Linked DNA regions of Rattus norvegicus. Each later gene encodes a partner of the first gene's protein in a complex. Links are inferred from orthologs where the notes say so. Each region holds a gene or a part of one and is shown on either strand. Other genes may lie near its edges.

Region 1 (4,067 bases):
CTCCCTACAGAAAGCCTAGCACAAACATAGACTTCTTTCCTAAATACGGACCAGCCGTCGGAGTTCCCCAAATCCAGTGGGGGTGGACCCATATCTATTCTACACTCCCTCCATATGTCCTTCTTCCCCAAGTGGTCTGTGAGACCTATAGGAGCACAGGAGAAAGTGAGTGGGGGTTCACCCCAGTCCTTCATCAATGAAGCTTATGTGATACTCTTCTGGGTGTGTGTCGCGCACACACACACATACACACACATGCATATATATTTATATATACCCATATTGACAAAAACCAAATAGCCTTACCTAACCAAGTGACTCTTAGTGCCAAATAGCACCAAAACCTATAGAGAAGGTAGGGTGGGGGAGGACACAGGAGAAAGATCTGCTCTACAGTTCACAGTTCTGTAGGAGGTGGAGAGGCAAGGATTGGGGGAGGGGAGGCAAGCAGCATACAGACTAAATACAGATTCCCCTCTCACCCTTTCTCTGTTTTCCCTTCCCAACTCCCCCTTCATCCAAAGCCACCTCAGCCCTGCTGCCTTGCAATTCTCACAGACAATTTTAAAAAGTGATGGGAAGGATACTTGGTTATTGGTAGGATGCATTATTCACTAAGCATCATAGAGATTCTGCCAAAGAATCAAAGATCAGTCTAGCCCTGGTGGCTGAACCAACAATGAACTCATCCAACTTTTTGGAAAGATCGGAGCTGTGGGGACTAGAGTATTCATTGTTTGCCTACATACAGCCACCTGCTGGCTCTCAGAAAACAGGACAAGAACTCAAAAGATAAGTTACTCTTCAATTTTCAGGGTTCTTTACCCTTAAAAGCCCAGCAGGGGAGAAGGCACTGAGTATAGGCAGGAAGGTTTGAGGGGGAGGAAGCCACTAGAAGAGAAAGAGTTAGCGCTAGAAAGTGAGTAGCTGGGGTTGGGGATTTAGCTCAGTGGTAGAGCGCTTGCCTAGCAAGCGGAAGGCCCTGGGTTCGGTCCCCAGCTCCGGAAAAAAAAAAGAAAGAAAGAAAGAAAGAAAGAAAGAAAGAAAGAAAGAAAGAAAGAAAGAAAGAAAGAAAGAAGAAAGTGAGTAGCTGACAGAAACAATTTCTGCAACAGAGAAAACCAAAGCTCAGAGGGCTGAGCAAACAGAAAGAAACAAATTGGGTCAGGACTCACACTTCAACACTTTAGGGTTAACATTGACCCATTTACTACAAACAAAGTGACTGAGGTTTCAAGAAGTTAAGAGACTTGTGCAAGGTCAACCTCAGAAGTACTGAACAGCTGAGCTGTTTGCAAGGCTCCTTCCCTTTCCACTAAACCACAAGCGTGAGAAGAGAGGAGCAAGGCAGAGAGCTTGGAGGTGAGCAGAGAAGGGAATTCGGAGTCCAGGAGAAGCCATGCTACCTGGTTCTCAGAGCGTGAGGATGAAGTTTGGGTCAGGCCCCGAGGCACCAGGCTTCCCTCTGGTCCCAGCCCTAGTCCACAAGGGTTTCTTGGCTATAGGGGATAGATTTCTCATGCATCGGTTCTCCTCCCTTGCACATGTTGGGGCCGGGGCCCTGGCTGTGCCCAGAAGAATAACTGGCAGATTTCTCTGCACTGCTGCTGTGAGGGCTGCCTTTGCACCCGCTCTGGTCACAGCAGAGCATGGAGGTGCAGGCTCGGCGAAATCGGGGGTCAAAGAAGGCATAGAGGAAGGGGTTGAGGCAGCTGTTGACGTAACTGATGCAGGTGCAATAGGGAAAGACATTCATGAGGAAGCTGTCAAAGTCACAGGGCCAGTGCAGCAAATTGCCCAGCATGTAGAGAGTCTTCACCAGGTGGTAAGGCATCCAGCACAGGGCAAAGGTCACCACCAGCACCACGATGATGCTCAGCAGCCGGCGCCTCTTCCGCAGGCCCTCGATGCGCTCCTTTCGGAAATGGCCAGCGATGGTTTGGGCAATGAAGAAGTAACAGGTCAGCATGATGATGAAGGGCACCACAAAGCCCACAGCAGTGGAGGACACCCCAAGGCCCACCTCCCAGGCCCACTCTGAGTTTGAAGTGGCCACCATAGAGTAGTCCATGTAGCACTGGGTCTTGGTGCTGTTTTCCGGGATGTCAGTGGAACGGAACACCATGACGGGCACAGCTAGAAGGGCAGCCAGCACCCACAAGACTGCTGTGGCCACGGCCCCGCTGACTCGCAGCCTTAGTCGAGCGTTAGCCACTGGCCTGACAATGGCCAGGTATCGGTCAAAGCTGAGGCCGGTGAGGCAAAAGACACTGGCGTACATGTTGACAAAGATGAGGTAGCTGCTGAGCTTGCAAGAGAAGGTTCCAAAAGGCCAGTCAAACTCCCGGTAGGTATAAGTGGCCCACAGTGGCAAAGTCACCACAAAGGTCAAGTCAGCCACAGCCAGGCTGGCAATGAAGATGTCAGCTGAGCGTCTCTTTTCTCGGCTGCTCCAAAACACGGTCCAGAGCACCAGGCCATTGCCTGTGGTGCCTAGAAGGAAAACCAGAATGTAGATGGCAGGGATGAGAGCTCCAGAGGGCGTCCAGTCTGCGTAGTCACATTCAGACTGGTTGTCAGCCCCGTAGTAGTTGTAACCATCATCTTCCATGGTGGTGAATGGAGGGAAGCTGGGCAGTGAGTCCCAGGGACACCAGCTCCAAAGTTATCTCAGCAACTCAGCAAGCACCCTGGAGGCTTGGCTCAAACCTCAGAGTAAGTGGTCTGAGGGTGCTTAGAGCCCTTCCCGGCATGCAGAACTAGCCTCTCTGGGAGCTCAGACCCAGCAGGATGTGCTTCTCAGGCGGCTGCACCTCTACCTTCCTGGTCCTAGCCCAGCTCAGCTAAGACACTTCCTTGCACCCTCCTGAGTCTCCGTCTCCTCCTAAAAACTCCACACTCTCTCCTCCCACCCCCAGGCTAACCCCTCCCTCTCTAGTGAGTCTTAAGATCTTTAAGTCACAGCCCACTTCTTTTTCCTTCTTGCCACTGGGTAAGTAGACTAAATTGACCCCTACTGTGCTGGGCTGACAATTATCTGTGCTTGGCCAGCCTGCAACTCCTCCTGGTCCCACCTCCTCTCTCTAGCTGCTACCAGCCTTCACTCCAGACTCTTCACTCTGGTTCCCTCTGGCCACCACTTCATGCCTGCCTTTTTTGGGGGGGAGGGGTATCTATCCCCTTCCTCAGTATTCACCCTCCTGTTCTCACCCTCTCCCAACCCTTCTAAATGAGACAAATTATGCAGATTGAAATCCAGTTTGACCTGAATCCAGGACAAGCCCCAGGCAGAGAGGGTGTGATATTTCACAGGGGTGTCCCAGCATCTGGATGGTCCCTGCTGACCCTGCACTCCCACCCCACCCCCACCCAGATGAGACACTAGGATTCCCTGAACTTCATTCATTCTTCTCTACACATCGGCCTTCAACCCTAGGGTTTCTGAGAACTTTGGTGATTTGCAGACAAAAGCATAATGAAATGTCTTTACAGTTCATAAGCTGCTGGCAGACCAGAGTTTGTAGTTTGCAGATAGAGGTATTAGAAAGTTAGTTGACAGAGTCACAAAAGGAAAGAAACTAAGACAAACTGGCTCCTAGGCACATCATTAAATCTATGGGGAAACTGAGGCTTATGCTAAGTGTCTGATGACAAAGGTCACGGGGTAGATTTTGTTATGGTGGGTTGTTTACTTTTCTTCTTCTCTAAGCATGGGGGTGGGGGGGACAGTTCTAGCATGCCTTCAGGGATCTTTGGCTGTTGACTGAATAAGTAAAAGCCCGAACCGAATTGGGGAAGGAAGAAGAAAAGGAGAATAAATGTGTGAATTACTATGTGGCAAGAACATGTACTCGGGTCCTTACCAATCTCCATGGGTCAAGAGGTTTCATAAGACCACATGGGGTCAGGAAGTTGAGTTAGAGGAGGATGCAGAAAAAGAAGCAGCCCCGAGCAGATGTTGTAGTCACCCTCCCATCTGGCCTTGTCCCCAGGGCTCCGCAGGAAGAGGAAGGATGCTCAAGATAAGGGTTTTTTTGTTTTGTTTTGTTTTGTTTTAAGTGTGTCCT
Region 2 (4,067 bases), on another chromosome or scaffold:
GCAGAAGCTGGCAAGAGGGAAGAGGAGAGAAAGTGGTGCTCAGAGACCAAGGGACACTTGGCGAGGACCCAGAAACTCTCAGTCTCAGAAGAGCAAAGCGTCTCCCAGGTCGGGAGGCAGGGAGAAATCTTTGTGGTTGGGGGAGGGGCAAAGAAGGAGGGAGAACATTCCAAGACAGAAGAGAAAGTGGGAAGAGAAATGGAAGCATGGTTTTTGAGTCTGGAACTTCGAGGACTCTGGCTGTGGAAAGCTCATACAAGTCTTTGCTAAGGACAAGGGAATTCTAGAGCTCCTCTTTCTCGACCAGGACACAGGAGTAGAGTGTGCATAGCTGAACCTCTGGCTGGTGGCCACCTCCAAGGAAGTGCTGTTCTTGGTTCCAGGAGTGGTCAAGGGTGGAAAAATAGTAGGAGCTTTAGAAGTAGCCAATGCTAGTCTTTAATAAAATGTCTTATACCTACATTGTTAGAGTATGCAAAAGATTTAAAGCAAAAGGAGGAGACAGAGCAAGAAGTTTCAGGATCTAGATCAGAACCCCAATGTATTCTGGCAGCCTGCTTAACTTCCTTGAAATTGGCTCATGACTTTACTAGTAATACCCCTATAGCTGCACCCCAAAGGGTTCACAGAGTATCTGCTAGTCAAAGTCTCCCTTATACCCTCTGGAGAAATATGCAGCTTTAGGTGGTCCAGCCTCCTCTGGGGTACCCTCTCTGTACCCAGTCATTTTCTTCTTTAGAGGCACTACCTTGGACTGTTTGCTTGAAATTGAACGATGAGGATGTCTTGTCTTGCCAATCATACTGGCTATGTAAACTCCATGGTGGAGGGGCAGGCTGATGTGGTATCTTTATTCATAGTTTTTGCTCCCTTCTGGCCATTGCTTAGCTGACATGAATTTCTGAGGATAAAGTCTTTACTCCTCTTCCTAAGGAGGAGGGCTGCCTCAGTGCTAGGTAGGGTCTTGCCGGAGATCACTGGACTACCTGGAGGCAGGAGGCATCAACGGGGCCAATGTACTTTCCTGAGAAGCCTGACAATGTACTGAGTTCAGGGCAATGCCAAAGAACAAAAGCACAGAAAGGAGGTGGTTACACAGAGAGGCAGGCAGAGTTGGCTAGAACCCCAGAGGCTCCTGGGCAGTATGCCATCTTCCTGTTCTGGGGGGTGGGGGGGGGTCGTCAAACTAAGAATGTTCCTGGGCCCTTCCTCTAGGAAACTTGCTGTCCTGTTCACTCCCTCTCTCTCCACTCTCACCTCCTTGTGACTCCAGCCCTGGCACTGGCAACTGTCCACCTGGTCTCGGCCTTCCCTTTCGGCTGTGCCAGGCAGGCTGCCGTGACAGCCAGATCACAGGACTGGGGCAGCTGAAGGTGGGAGCTGGCAGTCCCAGGAGGCTCTGACCCACAGAGGACAGGCAGACCGAGCAGGAGCTGTTGGGACACTAAGGACCCAGGAGACTGAAGTAGACAAGAGATTATCGGTGCAGAGAATTTCCAGGTAGGAGGTTAATACAGGTGGAGGTGAAGGGAGTCCTCTTCCCTGAGCTGCGTGGAGGTTATGAGATCAAGTGCCTGTGTTTCCTCTTTTTTGGTACCTGGAGACCGGGGACCAAAGTTATACCTGGGGCAAGAGTGGAGGATGAAGCCAGAATTGAGAAGAGCCAAGTCTCCAGAGAGATGGAGGTTGTGGAGCCAGGTGTCCCACAATGGAGCAGGGAACAAAATCATCCAGGACCTTGGAGTACAGAATACCAGCCTGGCCCTGTCCAGTCCAGATCTGCCTAAGGACTATACCTCTGCTTACACAGAGGCTGAAGGAGCAACAGCTGAGATCCACTAGCCACTGCGGTCGCCCCCGCCCCCGCAGCGTGCTCCTGACTATGCAACAAGTGTCACGTCTACATGTTGGCACATCATCCCCAGTAGCTTGAGCCCCTGGACTGGCCAGCAGCCCCTAAACTCCAAGACCCAGAGACCTTCAACATGGAGTCCTGACCCACTCAGCTCAGGTCAGCCACCTCCACTGATTCACGAGGTGAGCTGGACATGCTCCCATCCTCTCCCCCAACCCTGAACCACCACCACGTGGGGTACAGGGTGCAGGGTGCAGGACATAAAGTGTGAGTCTGTGGCACGGAACACTTTAAAGTACGAGGGACACGGGAGTATGGGGGTGCTAAGTGGTGATATACCAGATAATCACGAAGCCCCCCGCGCTGTCCGAAGAAGCAAAGCCTACATGGCACGTCGCCCCGTGGCCCCAGATGCCCTGTCAATAGGCCTCCCGGTGCGGCTGGCGCGTGGCTGCTCCTGCAAGACTCGCGCCGGGTTTCCCCGGAGGCGGGAAGAACGCGCGTGGGGCGGAAAGAGAGGATCGCGCAGGCTGCACCTCGGGAGAGCCCCGGAGAAAGCCCAAGCGAGCAAGAGGGCACGCACTCACCTCCACACACGGCAGTCAAGGAGAGCCAGAGCAGCAGCAGCGCCTGCACGCAGAAACTCAGATTCATGCTGCAACTCGGTCCGTGGCAGCCCTAATGAGCCGGCGAGTGGGCGGAGAGGCCGGGCACCCTGACGCAAAGAAAGGCGCGAGCCGGGGCTAGCGCGTGCGGGCACGGAGCTCGCGTGGCTCCCGGACCGCTGGCTGGAGAGAGTGAGCGCCCCAGCCGCACCGCTGGCTACCGGCCCCAAGCCTGCTCGCTGCCTCTGCTCTGGTGCAGCCTCCTCTGCCGCCGCAGGGCAGCGCCGCGAAGCTGGCCTTGGTGGCTCCAGTCAGCAGCAAAAACTCTCCAAGTGGTTAGCTGTGCTCTGCCCGCGACTCCCAACTACCCGTTGGTCCAGGCTGCTGGAGAGAATGCTTCCCTGCTCACTTCGGGGTCTGCATTTTGTAGCTTGTGGTTTGGCCGCGAGCCCACTTGGTCATGTGGTCATTAGGAGGCGGGGGTGGGGCGGGGGGAGGCAGGAAGAGGGAGAGGGAGTGAGCCTCCCGCACCGCCCCCCTCCCGGGAAGCATGCTGCAGCCCTATCCAGGGCGCGAGAGAGAACCCCGAGGTGGCCCCACAACAAAGGCTGAGCGGCTGCTCGGACAACCCACAACTGCTCCCGGGACAATGCCTGCCTGGCCGGGGTCCAGAGGGTTCGTAGAGACCTGAAGGATTTCAAACGCAAAAAACATTTGGAGCAGTGAAGGGTACTCTTAACCCTTTCTCACCTGGGTTTCCTTAACAGCTGTCAGGATAGTTGGGCATTTGGAGAAGGATCCTGTTTGGACTCCCCACAACACCCTCCCTCCTTTTCTGAATCTAACTTTGTTCTTTCTTTCCTTGACACTGCATCCCCAAGTATGGGTTTGCTCCTTTGCTCAAGACCTCCCCTACTCCGCCTCCTTTCTCCTCTGCATCTTCAACTGAATTAGAATTGGGGGTGACTGCCTAGGGTGTGCATAAAACTTAGGTCACTGCTTACCACCCTTAATTCTCCCGCTGTCCCCCAACGTGTGCCCTCTACCTGGATGCCTGGCTCCATGACTAAGCTCTTTATGCATACAGCAAAACCTCGATGTCCCACTCAATCTAAAAGCCACCGTTCTGTCTCTGCCCATTCCGGAGATACTGCCCCCTGGTTCCTCTTCACTGTTCGGAGACATTCTGCAGGGTTCTACCGCGTTCCCCTTCTTGTTGCTTGGAGCTGTCCTTTACTTAGTTTGTCCCATTGTAGGGGGGCCTCCCAACGCCTTCCAAACTCGGCTGAATTTTTTTTTACACTCAACTGGGATTCCTTGCTATAAGAGGGCCCCGGAACCATTTGCCTTTCTACTCTAGAGGCTTAGCTCCTTTTACAGCCTGGGGGCTCCCAAAGAAATGCACCAGACTGGGAACCCCTTAAGATTGGACCATAATGGTCCCAATCTTCCAGATCTCTCTAAAGTCCCCAATATCACTCTCTGCACATAGGTGGCACTCAACACATATTAAAAGACTAAATCAAAAGGTGTTTCCACCTTGAAGCAAGGCAGGCAGTTTGCTCCATGTGTACATCCAACCATACACAAAAGGTACGTTGGACAGT

Evidence for each region. Proteins that work in one complex are often made in the same cells at the same time.
Region 2: the proteins of Aplnr (region 1) and Apln are in contact, whole or in part, in a cryo-EM structure (PDB 8XZG), measured with the Homo sapiens proteins. The link is inferred for Rattus norvegicus from reciprocal best matches to the Homo sapiens genes APLNR and APLN. Residues at the interface, in NP_005152.1 of Homo sapiens: Tyr35, Phe78, Trp85, Tyr88, Thr89, Tyr93, Ser106, Ile109, Phe110, Met113, Pro163, Val164, Arg168, Gln180, Cys181, Tyr182, Met183, Tyr185, Glu194, Glu198, Leu201, Gly202, Ser205, Tyr264, Lys268, Tyr271, Ser275, Cys281, Asp284, Leu285; in NP_059109.3 of Homo sapiens: Arg66, Pro67, Arg68, Leu69, Ser70, His71, Lys72, Gly73, Pro74, Met75, Pro76, Phe77.

Annotation. Positions count from the first base shown.
Region 1 is NC_086021.1:90,622,822-90,626,888, reverse strand, and holds the start of Aplnr (apelin receptor), read right to left. Parts: upstream 2,835-4,067; 5' UTR 2,612-2,834; coding exon 1,478-2,611; 3' UTR 1-1,477. UniProt on the Homo sapiens protein: G protein-coupled receptor for peptide hormones apelin (APLN) and apelin receptor early endogenous ligand (APELA/ELA), that plays a role in the regulation of normal cardiovascular function and fluid homeostasis.
Region 2 is NC_086039.1:132,088,398-132,092,464, forward strand, and holds the start of Apln (apelin preproprotein), read right to left. Parts: upstream 2,850-4,067; 5' UTR 2,510-2,849; coding exon 2,443-2,509; intron 1-2,442. UniProt on the Homo sapiens protein: Peptide hormone that functions as endogenous ligand for the G-protein-coupled apelin receptor (APLNR/APJ), that plays a role in cadiovascular homeostasis. Functions as a balanced agonist activating both G(i) protein pathway and beta-arrestin pathway of APLNR.